Drosophila melanogaster: one gene and its partner. The protein of the gene in region 1 interacts with the protein of each later gene in a pairwise test. Each region holds a gene or a part of one and is shown on either strand. Other genes may lie near its edges. The genes, in order: qtc and CG8997.

Region 1 (5,134 bases):
TTGTTCCCTTCGCACGGTACAAATATATGTACATATATATATTTATGTACTGTATCTGGTTTAATGATCGCTGTCGGCGGGAAGAGCACAAAATTGTAAGCTGCGTGTCATCACGACATGAACAAAAGTGCAAGTGACAAAATGGCATTAGCCAGCTAAATCAATTAAATGTAACTTTCCAGGAAACTTGAAGCAAAACTTGAAACATGCCAAGTCATTACTAACTTGGCTAAAGCTGCAGGCTAAGGTAGGTTATAAACCTTTTCACTTAATATTTAATATCTTTATAAACGGTAAAAATCACATTTAATAAAAAATTACAAGCTATTGAAGAAAACAAACTATCTAGATAACAATCAATGCACTAGTCAGTTCTCAGAAAGTGTAAACTATCTTATAACCTGAAAGCCCACTCTTTCCAGGGTACCTAATAAGTCTAGAACAAACTTAGTTGCCTTTTCATGAGGTAAGCTAAACATATTTTGCCTTTCCAGTGGGAGTGTTTCATTGGGAGTGCTCCTGAATTCCCGGAAAATGCCTCTAGAGTTCCGTAGATAGTTTCGTAATACACTCATTACTTACCACAACGAGTGCGTATTGTGGTAGCCACCACCTCGTAACCTTTAACCCGCCGTGCGAGGGCGGCTCGTCAATTACCAGCAGTGAAAATCAATACAGAATATTGTGTAGTCCCACCGCCCACCAATCCACCTACAACAACTCACCAAATTTCGCGGCTTGCCGTTGGCCATGCTGCTGTTGCCCACCTTTGGAGCCAGTGCCTCCTTATCCAATGACAAGCACTGGGCGGCGTTGCATAGTGCCTCCGTGGAAGCCTCCACTTCCGGTTCCTGCTCCGTTTTGTGGCCTAAATTGCACCAGCTGCGATTACGCCTCAAGTGAACCGGGTGCGAACGCGTTTCGAGACTGGATGGGATCGCTGTGAGCTTGGCGCGCGAACTGAATCCGCCTCCGCCGGCTGGACAGTGCTCAGCCCGTAAACCGAGCTCTGCGGGATTCCCGCGCAGGCGCAGAGAAGCGGAACGCCGGAAACGCGCCACGGCGGGATGTGGAATGCGTGTGGGCGTTGTGGATGCCGTGTGCGAGTCCTCGGCGGAATCGTTGTCCTTCTCCCGCTGCACTTGCTCCTCCACCGCCGGCAGTGACGTCTCCAGCTGCAGCGACGTCATCATTTCTGCAGAGAGAGAAATAATTGCAAGATTACAGACGTGTTTTTAATCAAATTAAATGTTTGAACATGAAATGTTTGTTCAAGCTAGTATTAGCAACTAAAAAATTTAAATATAAAGACAGTTAACTAACCATTTTACTACTATGAAAGTGAAATGCAAAATTATGATTGGCAAAATGAGCTGCATACAAATTGAGCTAAAATCAATTTCTAATCACTGGTTGCACTTTCAAAATGTAAGCAATTTAATAATTGAATGCCTCGGATAAACGACTTCATTATCTTAAACGCTCGTCGGGTAATTAAAAAACTTTCTTCAGCCCGTAATTAATAATTACGATCTTCACTCCTTTCCGCTCGCCAATTGTTGCACTGATTTGCTGGGCAAATCCCAAATGAAAAGTGAAATTAAGCATTTTCCCAGACATGCAACTCTCAGGTTTTTGTTTTCGTGTTTTCTGTTTTTTTTTTCTTCAGTTTTTTCCTCCGCGGATAATTACGAAATTTGTTTGTTGAGATCTTTTTCGTTTTTGGTTTCTGTGGATTCAATGGTTTCAATGTATTGTATCTGCCTGTTCTAGTTACACAAGTTGATACGATCTCAAAGGTCTTTGGGTTAAATAATTTTTATTTTATTTGACACCTTAAAAGGTGCGAGAAATTCAGTTGAATATTTTCTGTCACTATCAGCAATTAAGTGAGACATCAAAGGTGATAAGAATTTCTGTGTCAGTTGGCAAATCAATGCGAAATCAAGTGTTATCTTTTTAAGCTTTCTGGCATTCTAGTTATTATAGACTACTTCAATTAAATATTATTTATAAGCATTTACCATTAATTTCTTATATTTAATTTCTACAATTTTAAAATCTCTTTGCAAGACCCCCAAAAACATTTCCCACATCCAAAATAATTGTTTTACCCATCTGACCCTTATTATCTTCTCTGTTTCTTTGGGATTCCACTGCCACTTTTGGTAGCAATTAGAGCGACTATCATTGTAAAGTATTTCCGCTCATTTCTTTCAAACTCAGACGGCTCCAACAAAATGTTCAGTTTTGGGCGGTTTTGGGTTGAGTTAGGCCATAAAAGGTCAATTTCACAGCTGAACAAACGTGTTTTTCTCCACTTTGTTCCCCCCCCCCCCTTTAATATCGGCTATGTGCTTATTTGCCACGTTTTTGTAACCAGATTGAGTGCATTCACGTCATTTCTTCGAACGGGATTGATTTAAGCGTTGACAAGGTCAATGGATAGCGTTTAAGATGCCCAAGTCAGATGTGAAACTATTTAATCAATGGCGAAATGGAGCACGTTTCTTTTGTTTTCGGCCTAAGCAAATACCAAGCAGCTGTTTAAGTAATTAAAAGTACACAGAGCGAAAAATTTGCTGAGTTCACTAGCCACTAGAATAATAATACTTACTTTATATGTGAGAGTAAGAACTCAAAGATACATTAGTTTAAAGTAATCATTTGGAATTACTACTCGTTTGATTTACTCGATTTAAGCACACACATTATTACCGAATTTTATTTTTTGTGTACTAATAGAACACACACACCCCCTGTAAAAAAAAAGCTCTCTAAGTTCGAGTCTCTCACTTATCAACAATAACAATTTTGTGGCTGTGTTTCGTTGGGTGATAAGAGGGCAAGTCAACAGCGAAATACAAAATCGACACAAATATGTCGGTCTCAGCTGAAATTCGCCACCTTTCAGCTAGAAGTATTCACAATTTGTATTTAATTACCTGAGTTTGGCTACGCTTGCGGCAAATGAGTGCACTATTTGCTCGCAATTTGTATGCGAATAATTGCAAATATCTTGAGCACAACGTTTAACCAAGCGAAAAGTATAAAACTATTAAACTTTAACAACAATTGTGTGGAGTGCGCGTGCTGGAGGCGAGCGACAAAATGCAACTGAAGCTGAAAAGCCGAGCGGCGAATGGAAAAGTCTGCTGGCAGATGGAAAACCTATTGTTCAATTACCAAAGCGAGACGGAAAATGGAGTAGTCCGTGTGTTGCAATCGGATGGATTTTGGGCTTTGGATTTTGTAGCCGGTGTGTGGCGTCGTCCCACCTTTTGATGGCATTTTAAGCGAATTTTCGAGCGTCTGGCGGTCTGGGAATCTCTTAATCGGAATCCCCATCGCCAAGAGCGAGGTGAAAGGCATAAAGAAGGCGCCGCATCCAAAAGGCAAAAGGTTTTTGGTGCAATTAATTGGCACAATAAAAACAAAAGGCGGCTCTGCATTGTACTTGCTCAAATTGTTTCGGTTTTGCCGGCGAAGACCTCATTTCCCATGGCATTTGACGGGCGGATGGATGGTGCATTATAAATTTTGTGGTGTTCGGTCTTGCGGAAAGTCTTAGTTTTCCTCAGCTCACTTCACTTTCGACCACACTACACACTCATTCTATTGTTGTACCAAATATAACATCGGAATACACTCTTTCCAGTACTTTCAAGTCCTTTGAGTTTGCTTTTTAAGTTTTATCCGCTTAAAAATTTCGAGCTTGGCGCCAATTCCCATTATCGATAGTTTTATGTATCGATATAAAGACAGTGTTGATCAGTGCTGGCAAATAGCAGACTTAAATATATGCTAAAATATTCCACAAACAAATTGACTACTACAAATAATCTGAAGAATATAGAATAAAATATTACAGCGGACTCTTTATAATTAGGTTAATTTTATTTTTATATGAAATAACTTTGGTAGAAGTAGCCTTTCCAATACATCCTTGACAACAACTAGTTAATTTCATTATTCCCTACTATAGTTACGTATTCTCATATTATTTACATAACAACAACTAAAGCTTAGCTTTGATTACACATTGAACGTAATTGAAATATTTTTATAGCTTTGCTATAATCAAGCTAAAATTTAGGCAAATCGTCATCTCCTCCCGCCGATAGCTTTTCGATAGGCGATGAGCGATACAACCCTGTTGCGAGTATTACTTGCAATTCTGCAAAATCAAACGAGACGGCTTTGTGTTTTTTGTTGCTGCTTTCGACGAGGAACGTAAATTACACGTAAAACAGTAGGAAATAGTTGATACTTGCCCCCGATCACAGAGTGTCTACAAATCCCAGAGGTGAGCACTTGGCTTAGTCAGCGCTTTTCGATTGTTTCTAACCCCGATTCGTATCCTTGTGCCCGGGTAGCCGCATAAAATGGATCGTCTGCTACGTCTTGGAGGTGCTATGCCACAGGCCGCCCCGCCCACAGATGCGCCCGTCGTAGACACCGCCGAGCAGGTGTACATCTCGTCCTTGGCCCTGCTCAAGATGCTTAAGCACGGACGGGCCGGCGTGCCCATGGAGGTGATGGGTCTGATGTTGGGCGAATTCGTGGACGACTACACGGTGCAGGTCATCGATGTGTTCGCCATGCCGCAAACGGGTACTGGAGTATCCGTAGAGGCCGTGGATCCCGTCTTTCAGGCGAAGATGTTGGACATGCTGAAGCAGACGGGTCGACCCGAAATGGTCGTCGGCTGGTATCACTCGCATCCCGGTTTCGGCTGCTGGCTGTCCGGCGTGGACATCAATACGCAGCAATCCTTCGAGGCGCTGTCGGAGCGAGCCGTAGCCGTCGTCGTCGATCCCATTCAGTCTGTCAAGGGCAAAGTGGTCATCGATGCCTTCCGCCTGATCAATCCCAACATGCTTGTGCTGGGACAGGAGCCCCGGCAGACAACCTCCAATTTGGGTCATCTGCAAAAGCCCTCCGTACAGGCCCTGATCCACGGGCTCAATCGCCACTACTACTCGATTAGCATAAACTACCGCAAGAACGAACTGGAGCAGAAGATGCTTCTCAATCTGCACAAAAAGTCGTGGAAGGACGGCCTCACGTTGTCCGACTACAATGAGCACTGTTCCATCAACGAGGACACCGTGGCCGAGATGCTGGATCTCGC
Region 2 (4,119 bases), 8.8 Mb from region 1:
CATGTTCATGGTGATAATCTCGTACTGATCGAGCCCCTGAAGTTCAAAGTTCTCGACTCCAAAGGTGCCACTGAATTCTCCCGAGTTGATTTCGAACGACCTCTGCGCCGCCTTCATGGGTGCCATAACGGGGATTCCAAATCTCGGGCTACCATTTTGCAGGACGACCCTGAATGCCTCCAATCCGTCCACAATTACGCTGGAGAAAGAGCGTCCTTGGGCTGAAAATTAACTATGATTATTAAATTTTCCCTAAAATTTTCTTCATATTCTCACCTGACAAAGGTTCGGCAACTTCGGCACCTTGACAGCTGGCCAGGGCCACGATAAGCGCAATCAGGAATGCAGACTTCATTCTTAGCACAGAACACTAGTTAACCCTTTTGGCAATCAAAATCCACTAGTCGAAGCTTGCCAAATCCATTCCTCTTATATAGGAAAATGACCATTGAGATAATCTATCGGTACACAGCACAAAAATATCAGTGTCTAGATTAAAAAATTTTAATATTAGGAAAACTTCTATGTACAGTGAATAAACAGTGAATGCTTTCTTGGCTTATATTTACAAAAACATGGTTGAAATATGGAACAATTTGTTATTTATTCTTAAATAATTAGTGTTTATAAAGGTTTAAAGAAATATTAGGGGCATTCCTCTCATATCAAAATTATTGTTTATTGACACAAAATGGTGAGGTATTGAGTACAGTGCTCTAAGATATTCCCTTTGATATAAAAATCATATTCTGAAAATCGCTATATCTTATTATATTATTTTGTATGAATCTACATTTTTTTTCTGTGCATGTGAAGTAGCTTTATTAATCGGCAAATAATTTGGCAAAGTGTTTTATGACAGATAGGACACAACTTGAGATTAGACCGTCTTTGAAATATAATGAAAGCTGATGGATGTTGTAAATATTAAGCTTTTTAAAACATCGTTTAAATTTCCCAATGCAATGAACAAAAAAAAACCCACCGAAAGCCAGTCCCGCAAGAAAAGAGCCAGGTGACGAATTCTTGATTCATAAACGGTTGTTTAATGACCGATGATTTGTTTACCACTCGAACTCGGGGGGAATGCAGGCCTCCTTCTCTCCACCCTCACCATCACCACCGGCACCGGAGATGATCTCGGCGATGCTGATGTCGTCCAGAACGCTGTTGACGGCGGGCAGGGCAATACTCTCGATGGTATCGGCAATCAGATCTTCGTTCTCATTGATGGCCAGCTCCACGGCCTCGGCCAAGTACTCATTCATCTTCTCGTTGATGCTGCCATCGCCCAGGATGCCCTCGATCTCGGAATCAACCTCACCCAAGTGGGTGCGGACCTCCAATGACTTCAGCTTCAGGTTGCCGCTGATCACGCCGAGTGAGTACTTCATAGTGCCCCAGATAACCATATCCTTGATGGCGAATTTGGCATGTCCGGCACCGATCAGATTGATGGTAAATCCGTACTTCTTTAGCAGCACACTCAAATCGTATTGGGTATCCACGTTCACGTCGCGGAAAGTGAACTTGTAGGTCACCTTGCTGGTGATGGCGTTGACCTTCATCTCATCGATATCAAAATCATTCAGACCGTTCAGGCGGAAGTGATCAATGGTTCCCTGAGCCTTCAGCACGCTGCTATCGATGTTGATATCCTGATGGTCAATTCTAAGAGGAGCCAATGGCGGCAGGCCGACACTGGTAAAGCCACAGGGCATCTGCTCCTTAATGCCCTCGATCACATCCACAATCGTGCTGGAGATCGACTGGGTTTCTAGAGAATCAAATGGATAGGTATGCTAAATATTTGGGCATTGGAAATCATCTGGAATACTCACCAATGGGCTGGCCCATGGAAGCCGCACTGGCAACGGCCACAAAAGCCAAAATAGCCACGAAGATTTTCATTATTGCTTTGACTGAGAGTCCTACCGACTGATCGTAGTACCTACGGTATTTATACTACTCAGTCGTCCGGTCGCACGAGTCGCTTTTTATAGACGATCAACATTTCAGGTGGGGTTGTGATAAGGTGGCTTCGTACTCGTGAACGATTTGATTAGCCACCGGGCGTTCAATCGATGGCCTATTGCTGTCTTATCTCGGCCAACGATTCCCCGGTTGGCAAATTTTTTAATTTTAATGATTAGTTATATATACATACATGGGGGTACTTATCCTAAGGAAATGATCAGATTTAAAAAGACAGTTTTCACTAAAGTACAAACATTGCCTTCTTGTGGAGGAGTGTCAAGATCAAAGTCTATTTGGGGTGTGTCCCCGCTTTGTTATGGTTAGAAGGCTTCAAAAAAGTGTGTTTTTCTAAAACGTTTTCTAAAAAAGAAGGTGTAGGATTAGTGGTTGACTTGGAAACAAGATTTTAAAATCATTAGTTTCGCGATTACAGAGTACTCATACATTAAATGTATGGTCTTACGAAAACTTTCCATCAATCGATATTTTAAGGTCATGCAGGTGTTGAAGCCAATAGGAAACATTTTAACAAAGTAATTATCAAAATTGAAAACGACTACCAAAAATTTAGCATGATTATAATCTTCTAAAGAAGTCTGTTTGGAATTAAAATTCTCCATGCACTTCTGCGGATCTAAAGTCTGCGAAAAGTTTGTTTATTGATTAACAATCAAGTGATTTTTAAGTGCATTGAGTGATTTATGAATGATATCTCGACTGGGGTATTTAAAGGTCTTACGAATGGATCTATTAATAAAAAAATCCAGACGATTAACACCTGATGGCTAGTCAAATACTCTCTTAACGAATTATTGGCTTTAAAGTTAACGCCAGTCCTAGCCCAATATGTTTATCAATAAGTAGTTTACCCATTGTGTTAGTTCCCCTTGTAAAATCGTAATCAGAATAGCAATAAATCACTTTTTAGTACGCCTTTAAGGTTCTAAAGAGTACAAAAAAGCCACTGAAGCTCTGAAGACAAAAGAATTTACCCCCACTGAGTGATACGAATCGGTCATCCAGTGTAATCCGCCGACACCTGCATGGAGTGGTTGACGCAGTTTTACCCCCGGTAGACCAGTTATTTGTGTATAATCCAGATCGCAATGATAGGCAATATATATTCTTTAAGTGATATTGACAATCGATTGGCCAATTGGACGTCGAGATTAGGCCAAAACAAGCCACTCAGGCGAAACAAGTGCTCCCTTTTTTTACAAACCACTTGCCGAATGATTTGATTCCTTCGTTTTTAAATCGGAAGCCTATCGTGAATTGGGCGTTATGTTCATGGCAGCTCCGCTAATCAAAAGTAGCGATTAGCATTTGTATTTGTTAACCTGGTTAAGTGATCCCTTCCCTTCCCCTCGGCTTGCCCTTCGAATCCGCTAGCTTTGCTATAAAAGCCACTGACCGGCTGGGACAATCAATCAGGTGGCTGGCTATACAATGAAAGCTATCGTTTGTGTTTTTGTGACCCTTTTGGCCTGCGTAGCGGCCTACGATGTGGAGCTGCTCACCGAGGAGCAATGGGACCAGCTGGTGGCGCGTAATCGTAAGTGTCTTAAGCCATCCATCACCTGACCAAACAGAGGACTAATTGCAATGTGATTCCCCGCAAACAGCCGCCAAGCCCGATACTCAGGGTCTGATCTTGAACGGATCGGTGAAGAAGGCCATCAATGGACTGCTGAACCAAATGCCTTGTGGTTGGCCCCAATATGGAATTCCACCACTGGATCCCTACACCAATGCTGATCTCCGCATCCACTTGGCCGAGTCGGTTGTCGAGTGAGTTATAATTAATTGGAGTGATTGTATCAGTGGATCTAATAGTCATCCTTAGTACCCTGCTGCAGTTCCTGCGCTTCCGTTTCGATGGCCTGGAAGGCATGGAGATCAAGAAGATGAAGGTCAGCTACACCTTTAGCAAGAAGGTCAAGTTCCACTTCAACTTCCCAGAGCTGAAGGCCAGTGCCCACTATTTGGACACCAACACCTTTGTGAATCTGCTGAAGGAACTGGGATTGTCGGTGCGCTACGAGAGCTCGGGCCCATTGTCCTTCAGCCTGCAGAATCTGTCGATTCAGGGCGAGTTCAAGTACAAGATGCCCTTCATCTTTGGCTCCATCAAGATCTACA

What was found.
Region 2: the proteins of qtc (region 1) and CG8997 interact in a two-hybrid assay, tested with the Drosophila melanogaster proteins (one large-scale study listed by BioGRID).

What each region holds. Positions count from the first base shown.
Region 1 is NT_033779.5:5,058,802-5,063,935, reverse strand, and holds the start of qtc (quick-to-court), read right to left. Parts: upstream 3,122-5,134; 5' UTR 2,946-3,121; intron 1,301-2,945; exon of another isoform or gene 1,196-1,300; 5' UTR 1,194-1,195; coding exon 726-1,193; exon of another isoform or gene 494-725; intron 1-493. Other genes in the region: Rpn11 (regulatory particle non-ATPase 11), read left to right, coding at 4,386-5,134. UniProt on the Drosophila melanogaster protein: In adult males, modulates sexual behavior by playing a role in sex discrimination and maintaining normal levels of sexual activity towards both males and females.
Region 2 is NT_033779.5:13,843,352-13,847,470, forward strand, and holds CG8997 (uncharacterized protein), read right to left. Parts: upstream 1,975-4,119; 5' UTR 1,912-1,974; coding exon 1,842-1,911; intron 1,778-1,841; coding exon 1,065-1,777; 3' UTR 564-1,064; downstream 1-563. Other genes in the region: CG33306 (uncharacterized protein), read right to left, coding at 1-221, 277-355; CG7916 (uncharacterized protein), read left to right, coding at 3,427-3,532, 3,603-3,768, 3,824-4,119.